Saccharomyces cerevisiae S288C: one gene and its partner. The main gene of each other region encodes a partner of the protein of the gene in region 2 in a complex. Each region holds a gene or a part of one and is shown on either strand. Other genes may lie near its edges. The genes, in order: MYO2 and INP2. A codon is read from its position in the direction of its gene.

Region 1 (3,932 bases), on a different chromosome or scaffold from region 2:
CAGCTTTTTCTAATCCCTCTAAGATATTTATTAGTGTCTCGTTGGTAGAAGCCTTCAACACTTCCAAATGTCCGTCAGATACGGTGTCTCTATTTTTTTCAATAAATCCTTCCACATCATAAGCGACATCTAGAGCATAATGGCTCACGATAAATTTAGTTTGCCCGAATCTTGGTTTAGAAAATACTTTGTTCGTAGGAGATTTATCCAAAGTTTGATAAAGTTTTTGGGTCCAAGATTCGTCGGAACCAGCAGGTAACCTACTTTCTTCGTCAAGCAGTGATAAAATACCCAACTTGTTTTCAATCAGATCAATACAAGGTTGATTATCATTAAACTCTATAAAAGACCATTCAATTTCTTCTTTAACGTATTCTTCTTGCTCTAATTTGAAAACATGTTGGTTGAACTCTTGTTGTAGTTTTTCGTTGGCATAGTTAATACAAAATTGTTCAAATGAATTTTTTTCAAAATGTTCAAACCCATAAATATCCAGAACACCAATAAATGAGCTAATTTGGTCGTTCACAGCCGGGTTGCATAACACGGTGTTGATATTTTCCACAAGCCAATCGAAAAGGGCGGAATAAATAAACTTAGCCACGGAATCTTTGGCAACCAGAGCTTGACTATAATTTAGATTCGAAACAATTTTCTCTGACCTTGTAATGATCTGCTTTTTGGTGACCCATTTGGCAAAGTTGTAGGCATCAATTCCCAGCAATTCGCACGCCAGTTTCAGGTTTGGCTCATCAGCTGATAGTGATGCATCATTTCTAGTTTTTTTAATTTCTATGTTACCGATATGCAGAAGTGCGGCCAAGATCTTAAATATTTGGTGTTGAGTTTCCTTGGTGATTCCGACTAATGTCAATGCATCTACTGTAATTTTGTATTCTTTGGCATCATCAATACCGTTGATCTTGGTGTCACCGCCTTGGTTCATGTAGAAGTAATCTGAGGCATCGGTAAGATGCAATTCCTCCTTGGTTTGAGCTGGTAATCCAGCCATTAATTGATAAAATATGTGGTAGTTTCTCTCAATTGGCGGCTGGTAAACTAATCTGGACCGTTCCAACAAGTATGTGCGGATCCTTGCTCCAATAATAGATGTGTCCTTATCGAATAAAATTTCTAGATACTTACCAAATCTGGAAGAATTGTCATTTCTGGTAGTCTTAGCATTACCAAATGCTTCCATGATAGGGTTTGTAGCTAGAATCTTTTGTTCTGTTTCCGACATTTCCACTTGATGTTGTACAGTAGCGGAATTTTCCTCTTCTACAGAAGCAAAATAACGCATAATATACTTGGCAGAAACCGTTTTTCCAGCACCAGATTCACCACTTACCACAATGGTTTGATTTTGTTTGTCATTTTTCATCAACCTATACGCTTCTTCGGCAATGGCAAACAAGTGAGGTTCCAGTTCACCTCTGCGCTTTCCCGCATATGCTTGGATCATGTCTTGTGTATAAAGCTGGTCGACACGATCAAAAGGGTTTGTAGCAATCAGAACAATACCCGAGTATGTGTAGATATTCAATTGAGAATAGCGCTGTTTGATGGCATGTAAAACAGCTGGCTCATTCAAGTAAGATAAAGAGGTCAAATCTTCCGTTGCTTCCAAAATGGGAGGGTTTCTAAGAAGCGGTAGAGATTGGTCCTTATCGTTATTCAAGTCTTTTGTGTCCACGGACACGATTTCATCGTCTTCCAATTGTAACTCCAGGTGGTACTTGCCGTCGTTGAACTCATTTTTGATTACTTCCGCCCCAATCCAGCCCAATTCTTTATGGGGATACCAGCATCGTGTACCCACTTCAAAAGACATTATACGCTGTAATATCTGCTGTTTTTATGTCCTATATGTACAATGGTATAAGTATCGCTGTCCAATGGAATGGTGTCGAATAGTACCTTAGAAAACAAAAAACAAGCAAGCAGCCAGAAATCGAACGAATAATTTCAAGCGAGAAAAGTGAAATGACTTTGCGAGACTTTTTTGTTCTCTGATTGGCCTTGCAAAGTTGATAGATCTCTGAAACGCAGGCTACGAATCGTATCAAATGAAGGCGTGTTTGGGATTTCTGATATTTGGCTTTTCGAGAAGCGCGATCATAAACAAAAAAAAGGAAAAAATCACAAAATAGCCCTGGGTCGGGTAATAGTTTTTGCCCTACGTTTTCGTAAATGTGTCACTAGGTGCAATTGCCAATAATTAATTGTAACCTACTCAATATCTATTTTAGCCCTACATACGTTAGGGTCGAAAATCTGTTGGGGTTTTGGTTTTAACAGCGTAAACTAAACCAGATAAGCATCGAGAAACGGCGCTTGGCACATCGTATATCAACAAGACAAACCAGTGACCGGAGTTCTGAGGCGTCTTCGAGCCTATTTATTTATTGATCTGGGTCGGATAGTTCACCCTATTTGTGGAGGAAAAGACCTTCCCATATCTAAATTTTTTTTTTTTTTTGGTTTAAGTTATAGTTGATACATTAAGTGAAAATGAACTTGCTAATTGACCGGATGGAGAATCCCGGATCGAGGAACTGTACCCTGTTACCTCCTTCATTCCCAAGAGGCTTTTGTAAGGGAAGAAGGGCTTCCAGTGGCGACGCAGTGAAGATAAAAGAATCCGGTCTACAGCCGCAGCCGCAGCCGGAACCTCTACAAGCTAAAACAAATGTTGCACACTTTTCGAAATCATCTTCTAGATTACCTGTCATAGCAGTGAATGATAATCCGGTGGTCCCAAGACCAAGCACTGAAGTAAACTTGGGATCGTTGTTACAAAAGGAAAGGGAGAAAGAAAAGGAGGAACAGCCTGCGCTGCATGATAGGAGACATTTATATGTGACAAAGAATAGGGCACATGGGGTACGACAACGTTCATTGGAAATGACTAGCTTACCTGTCCTGGGATCGACCAAAACCGGGAAGTTTAGCGATTTTTTGTTTGAAGATGACATCGATAACAGAGTAGGTCGACACAGTAGATCATATAGTGGGGCATCCAGTTTGGATGATCCATTCAGAGTGTCGCCGAAAACCGACTTCAACTCTAATAGGGCCAGATTGTCTTGCCTTAGTAAAGGACGTCGTGGTTCGATGTCCGTTTTCCAAAGCTGTCATACTGGGCTAGCTTTCAATCAAATACAGGGTTCCTCCTCTTCGCAACGTAGATCATCCGCTGGTTCTTTTGATTATGAGAGGAAACGATTGGTTAACCAATTTTTACAGCCTTCTTTGGGAAATTCAGACCCATTTGATACGTTGAGGGAGTCGGTAGTGTTTGAGCCCTCATCCACCGCTGGCGGCATTAAATTAGGGAATATGCATTCTCAATCACAAATTTCCGTAAACTCCTCCCCCAGCACATCTTTGTTTTATCATGATTTGGACGGTTCTGCTGTCAACGATTCTTCGTCATTTCTGTATTCCCGTTCTAATGTACCAGCATTTTTGTCGTCATCAGCCTTTTCGTCCACGTCATCCACCTCATCAGATTCAGAAGATGTGGATAGAAGAAGTTTAAACGGTGTATATCCCTCTTTAGGATATTTGACTAACCAGAGGAAACCAAGGAATTCATCAGGCTCTTCCACTGCACCTGGCACCGATACCTTGGGATTTAAGTATTTACTGAATAGGCAGAAGTCAGCGGATTCTTCCACTAGGTTCAAGAGTGTACTGAAGGTGAACAATAATAATGGCTCCGCAGCCACTCCTGATTCTAGCTCAAACTCTATTTCGAAGAGCAACTCAAATTTGAATGATAACATTGATGAATTGAATTATTATCAAAATCATATTTCGACACTTCTAGTGAAGATCGAGAATGAGATGAGAAGAAATTTAAACGATACAATAATCAAGAATGAAAACAACGTTCAAAAAACTATCCAAAAGTATGATCTTCTATC
Region 2 (3,932 bases):
TAAAGTGTAATTAGTTATTTCAAAGTACATATTAAAATATATTATCATGAATCATTTCCTAGTAATCCTTTTAATTCATACAAAAATGGGATAGTTTCTTCCGAAGATACTTTGCATTTGCTGAGAGGCCTGCTCTCAAGAAAGGCATCGTCTCTTAATGGTTTTTGAAAGCCAAACTTTACGGACATGGAAGCCTGAGCTTTTCTTAGCAATTCAAAGGACTTTGCAGTTCTTAGCCTTTCCCTGCCTTCACGGTTTTCTTGAGCCAATTTCAAAATTCTTTCATCTAACTTGCGTCGTAATTCGTTGTCAGAAAGTTGCTTGAAATCTGGTTTCCTACAACTATCCTTTCCGATAAAATCTACGCGGTGATTTTGGCGTGAACCGGCAGAACATTCCTCCTGACAGTCGTAGTCTTCATATTCCTCTAGTTCGGTGTCGTTTTCAAAAGAGTCATTCACCGATTCAGCAACATCAATGAAGTCAACTTTCCTCTCTAAGCTAAGACCTTGTACTGACGAAGAACGGGGTGACTTTCTGCCTTTGAGGATATCCAGATGGAAACCATGGTTGATTGTATTGGTTGGGGATACCTTTTGTATCCTAGAAATATTGCCACAAATTTTCGAGGTTTTCCAGAAAGTAATGAGCTCCTCCAACTTATCCTCAATGATGTTCCTATCATTCTCTGTTATGCCATTTCGAATGTCAATAGCTAATAGATTGTTCTCGATCATTTTTAAGTAATTAAGTGCCTGAAACAATTTATCATTCTTTGAAAATGAACATACATTTGCTCTTTCACAACCAGTATTAGTTGATGTTTCTTCAGGAAATGCATACAATATTTGCTTATGGTCATTCAAAGACACCAGGACAGTGGAGAGTAGTGAATGTAATCCTCTTAATAGACTAACTATATTTTGGAATGTACCTATTGGATTATATTTTTTTTTGAGTTGCACCCTTGCCATGTAATCTGGAAAGATTTTGTTTAGTGCGTTTCTCATGTTTACATTTGAAAGATTTTCGTTTCCTGTCATATCTAAAGACAGCAAACAACAGAGCATAAATTTCTTTAGCAGTTTGAGACGATAAAGCTTACCATCAAGGTCTTTTACTGTGGTAGTATTATTATAGTAAAGATTTGGTACATCGATACCGTATAATTCACAGTATTTCGATAGCTCACTTGTATCGCTAAAGATGACAATATCTGGAATGATTGATTTGAGTTTATAAAACAGTGCATCACTTGAGAATACTAGGAGCTCTTTTATCACAGATGAGTGCTCGTCAGCAATTGAAATAAGAGACACTCTTGATATAAAACTATGATTTTTTATTTCTTTAAATCGAAGATGATATTTATGAATCATTACATCCACTTGTTGTAATGATTCGAGCACTTTCCGTACCTTTAATAAGGTTTTATAGCAAATCAAATGTCTTCGAAAGTATTCTTGCTGAATTGATAAATACACTGCTACGAGTATTAAAATTACAACTCTCTTCAGACCTGGACTATTTTTTTTTCTACAGTATTTTTTCAACTGTGTAAGTACTCGATAAGAGGTTATAATCATCGAAAGGTAGTTGAAATTTTGTCTGAAATATAATTTTTTGTCCTCTGCTACCGCCAATTTACCATATTTTGTCGCCATAAATGGTACAGATTTGGGAGGTACATTCTTTAACAAAGTTGAGCTTTTATGAAAGTTCATAATAGATTGATCAAGATGTAGTGATAACCTGTAATGATTCATATCATTCAAAAAATGAGAAGTAATGATTGAATACCGAAATTCTTCAAAGAATTGGTGTGTTACACCGAATGGCTGTTGCATGAAAATTCTTGAAATAATATCATCCCAATTAAAAAACTTCGTTGTTTTTCCTACGGTTATAGGTGAAAAAGTACAGTCATTAGATCCCACAATTGTAGGGGAGTATTCATGTAATACGCTGCGGCTGCTTAATAGGGACGGTTTTCGCCACGTAGAGTAAAATTCTTGACGATTGTTCTCGGTGACACCTATTATGTTATCACTATCAAGGGTTAGACTAGAACTCATGAATCCATCCTCTTCGCTTGATTTCAGCATGGAAAAAATCTGTAAACCGGGAGCCTGCAAGGCGGATGGACGTGAGTTTGTTGTCATTATTAAGTTAATCAACAAACGTTTCACAAGTAAGTAAAAACAAACTTGTTGCAATAAGCGTGAGGTATGCCGAGCAGTTATTGAGGGGGTGAGATTTTGACCTTTGATAAAACTCCTATAACCGTCTAGTATCCGGTAGTCACCTAATCATTTATGATATTGGGTGAAGATGAATGTTTAGTTTATTTTCAGATCAAGTGTTTTTATTTACGTTTTGATGTTTTCATGCGGGATGTCTTCAAAAAAATGATTTCGCCCAGGATCGAACTGGGGACGTTCTGCGTGTTAAGCAGATGCCATAACCGACTAGACCACGAAACCATAGTAAGTTGGAGAATTCTGTATAAAGAGTATGCTACATTTCTCTAAATATGTTAGGAATTAAATATAAAAATTCCGAAAACTTTGAGGCACCGTCTTTTTAGCTGGCCAGATAGCTTGCTTACCTATTTTCTTGCTAGTTTAAATTCGACCGGAATAGAAATTTGGTTACAAGAACGCTATTGCGCACCAGATGCAAATTTTTTTTTTATTTTATATAGTGTCACTGGCACCCCTCCATTACATTGTCTAATTTAAAATAACTAAACTGATATACTCACTTACTCTAACGATTGACTCCTGCTTGGTCAAAAATATGTATAGATGTTAGACCATCTTTATATGCCATTATTTTGAAAACCTAAGTGAGAAGTAAGTTTCACACTTCATTTGAGAAACGATACACCTGCACTGAACGATGATCCCAAAAATCGTTCCGACAAATACAGACAAACAATTTTCTTAAAGATTCAAATTAGAAACATACTACTCATATGAAAGAAAAGATGCAACGGTTAGTATTGGAAGAATGACGATGAAACACTTTTTGTTGTTTAATAGGTTTTAGCTATCCATTAGATCAGGAGAAAAGTCACCAATGTTAAATATGTCGAATGTTTCTGTATCCATAGAAAAAGAGCCATTTAGTTGTTGCTGCGAGTTACTGTTTTGAACTTTTACGGTACCCTTACCGCCACTGTCCTTTGGAGTGACATTGATGAAGTTTGTAGCAGCTGAATCACCATTTTGTTCCAGTTTCTTAGATTTCATAACTTTCTGAGCTGCAGCAACTTTTCTTGATTCCTTGGTCTTTGTTTTACCCACTCTCTGTTTCCGCTTGGGTTGAATTGTTGTAGTTATATTAGGAGTTGTGCTGGAGCTAGAAGTACATTTTGATGATGGTTGTGATACTGTGGGTGTATTATTACTATTATTATTATTATTATTATTATTATTATTATTATTACTATTATTACTATTATTATTATTATTATTATTGTTGTTGTTGTTATTGTTATTGTTATTGTTAGGCAAAGGAAAGACGGAGGTAGAATCATTTTGTGGTACTGAAGTATTGGTTTTATAATGTTGTGGTAGATGAAATTGTTGTTGCGGAGCGAACGCATGCATTGCGGAAGAAACATTTTGATATAAGGGCTGCATATTGATCATAGGGTTTTGTCCGGATGGATTAGTCTGCCTCATACCTGGATTTTCAATGACAGGAGACCCCATATTTCCTGGTTGTAATGGCATAGTGTTGTTAGCTGGCGCTATACGATTAGTGTCTGGAGGAAAGGCACTATTTTGTAATTGCTGGTTAGCCGCCATTCTTTGCATCATCATATGCATGTACTGCTGTTGAGATGTTATATCACTAACAACCGGATTTGCGACAGTGCTTTGATTTTTCATTTGTTGAGGAATTGTTTTCATCTTATTGAAGCG

What was found.
Region 1: the proteins of INP2 (region 2) and MYO2 are in contact, whole or in part, in a crystal structure (PDB 6IXR), measured with the Saccharomyces cerevisiae proteins. Residues at the interface, in NP_013886.1 of Saccharomyces cerevisiae: His532 (codon at 569), Gly533 (codon at 566), Phe534 (codon at 563), His535 (codon at 560), Leu536 (codon at 557), Asp537 (codon at 554), Ile538 (codon at 551), Leu539 (codon at 548), Lys540 (codon at 545); in NP_014971.1 of Saccharomyces cerevisiae: Ile1206, Ile1207, Ser1210, Trp1213, Arg1214, Gly1216, Phe1261, Phe1264, Ala1265, Ser1268, Ile1269, Phe1275, Gly1278, Met1279, Glu1283, Tyr1287, Phe1542, Asp1543, Gln1544, Val1545, Glu1546, Ala1547, Val1565, Val1569.

The regions. Positions count from the first base shown.
Region 1 is NC_001147.6:923,623-927,554, reverse strand, and holds the start of MYO2 (myosin 2), read right to left. Parts: upstream 1,835-3,932; coding exon 1-1,834. Other genes in the region: FRT1 (Frt1p), read left to right, coding at 2,515-3,932. UniProt on the Saccharomyces cerevisiae protein: Myosin heavy chain that is required for the cell cycle-regulated transport of various organelles and proteins for their segregation.
Region 2 is NC_001145.3:584,227-588,158, forward strand, and holds INP2 (Inp2p), read right to left. Parts: upstream 2,163-3,932; coding exon 45-2,162; downstream 1-44. Other genes in the region: MSS11 (Mss11p), read right to left, coding at 3,048-3,932. UniProt on the Saccharomyces cerevisiae protein: Required for peroxisome inheritance. Acts as the peroxisome-specific receptor for the myosin V motor MYO2.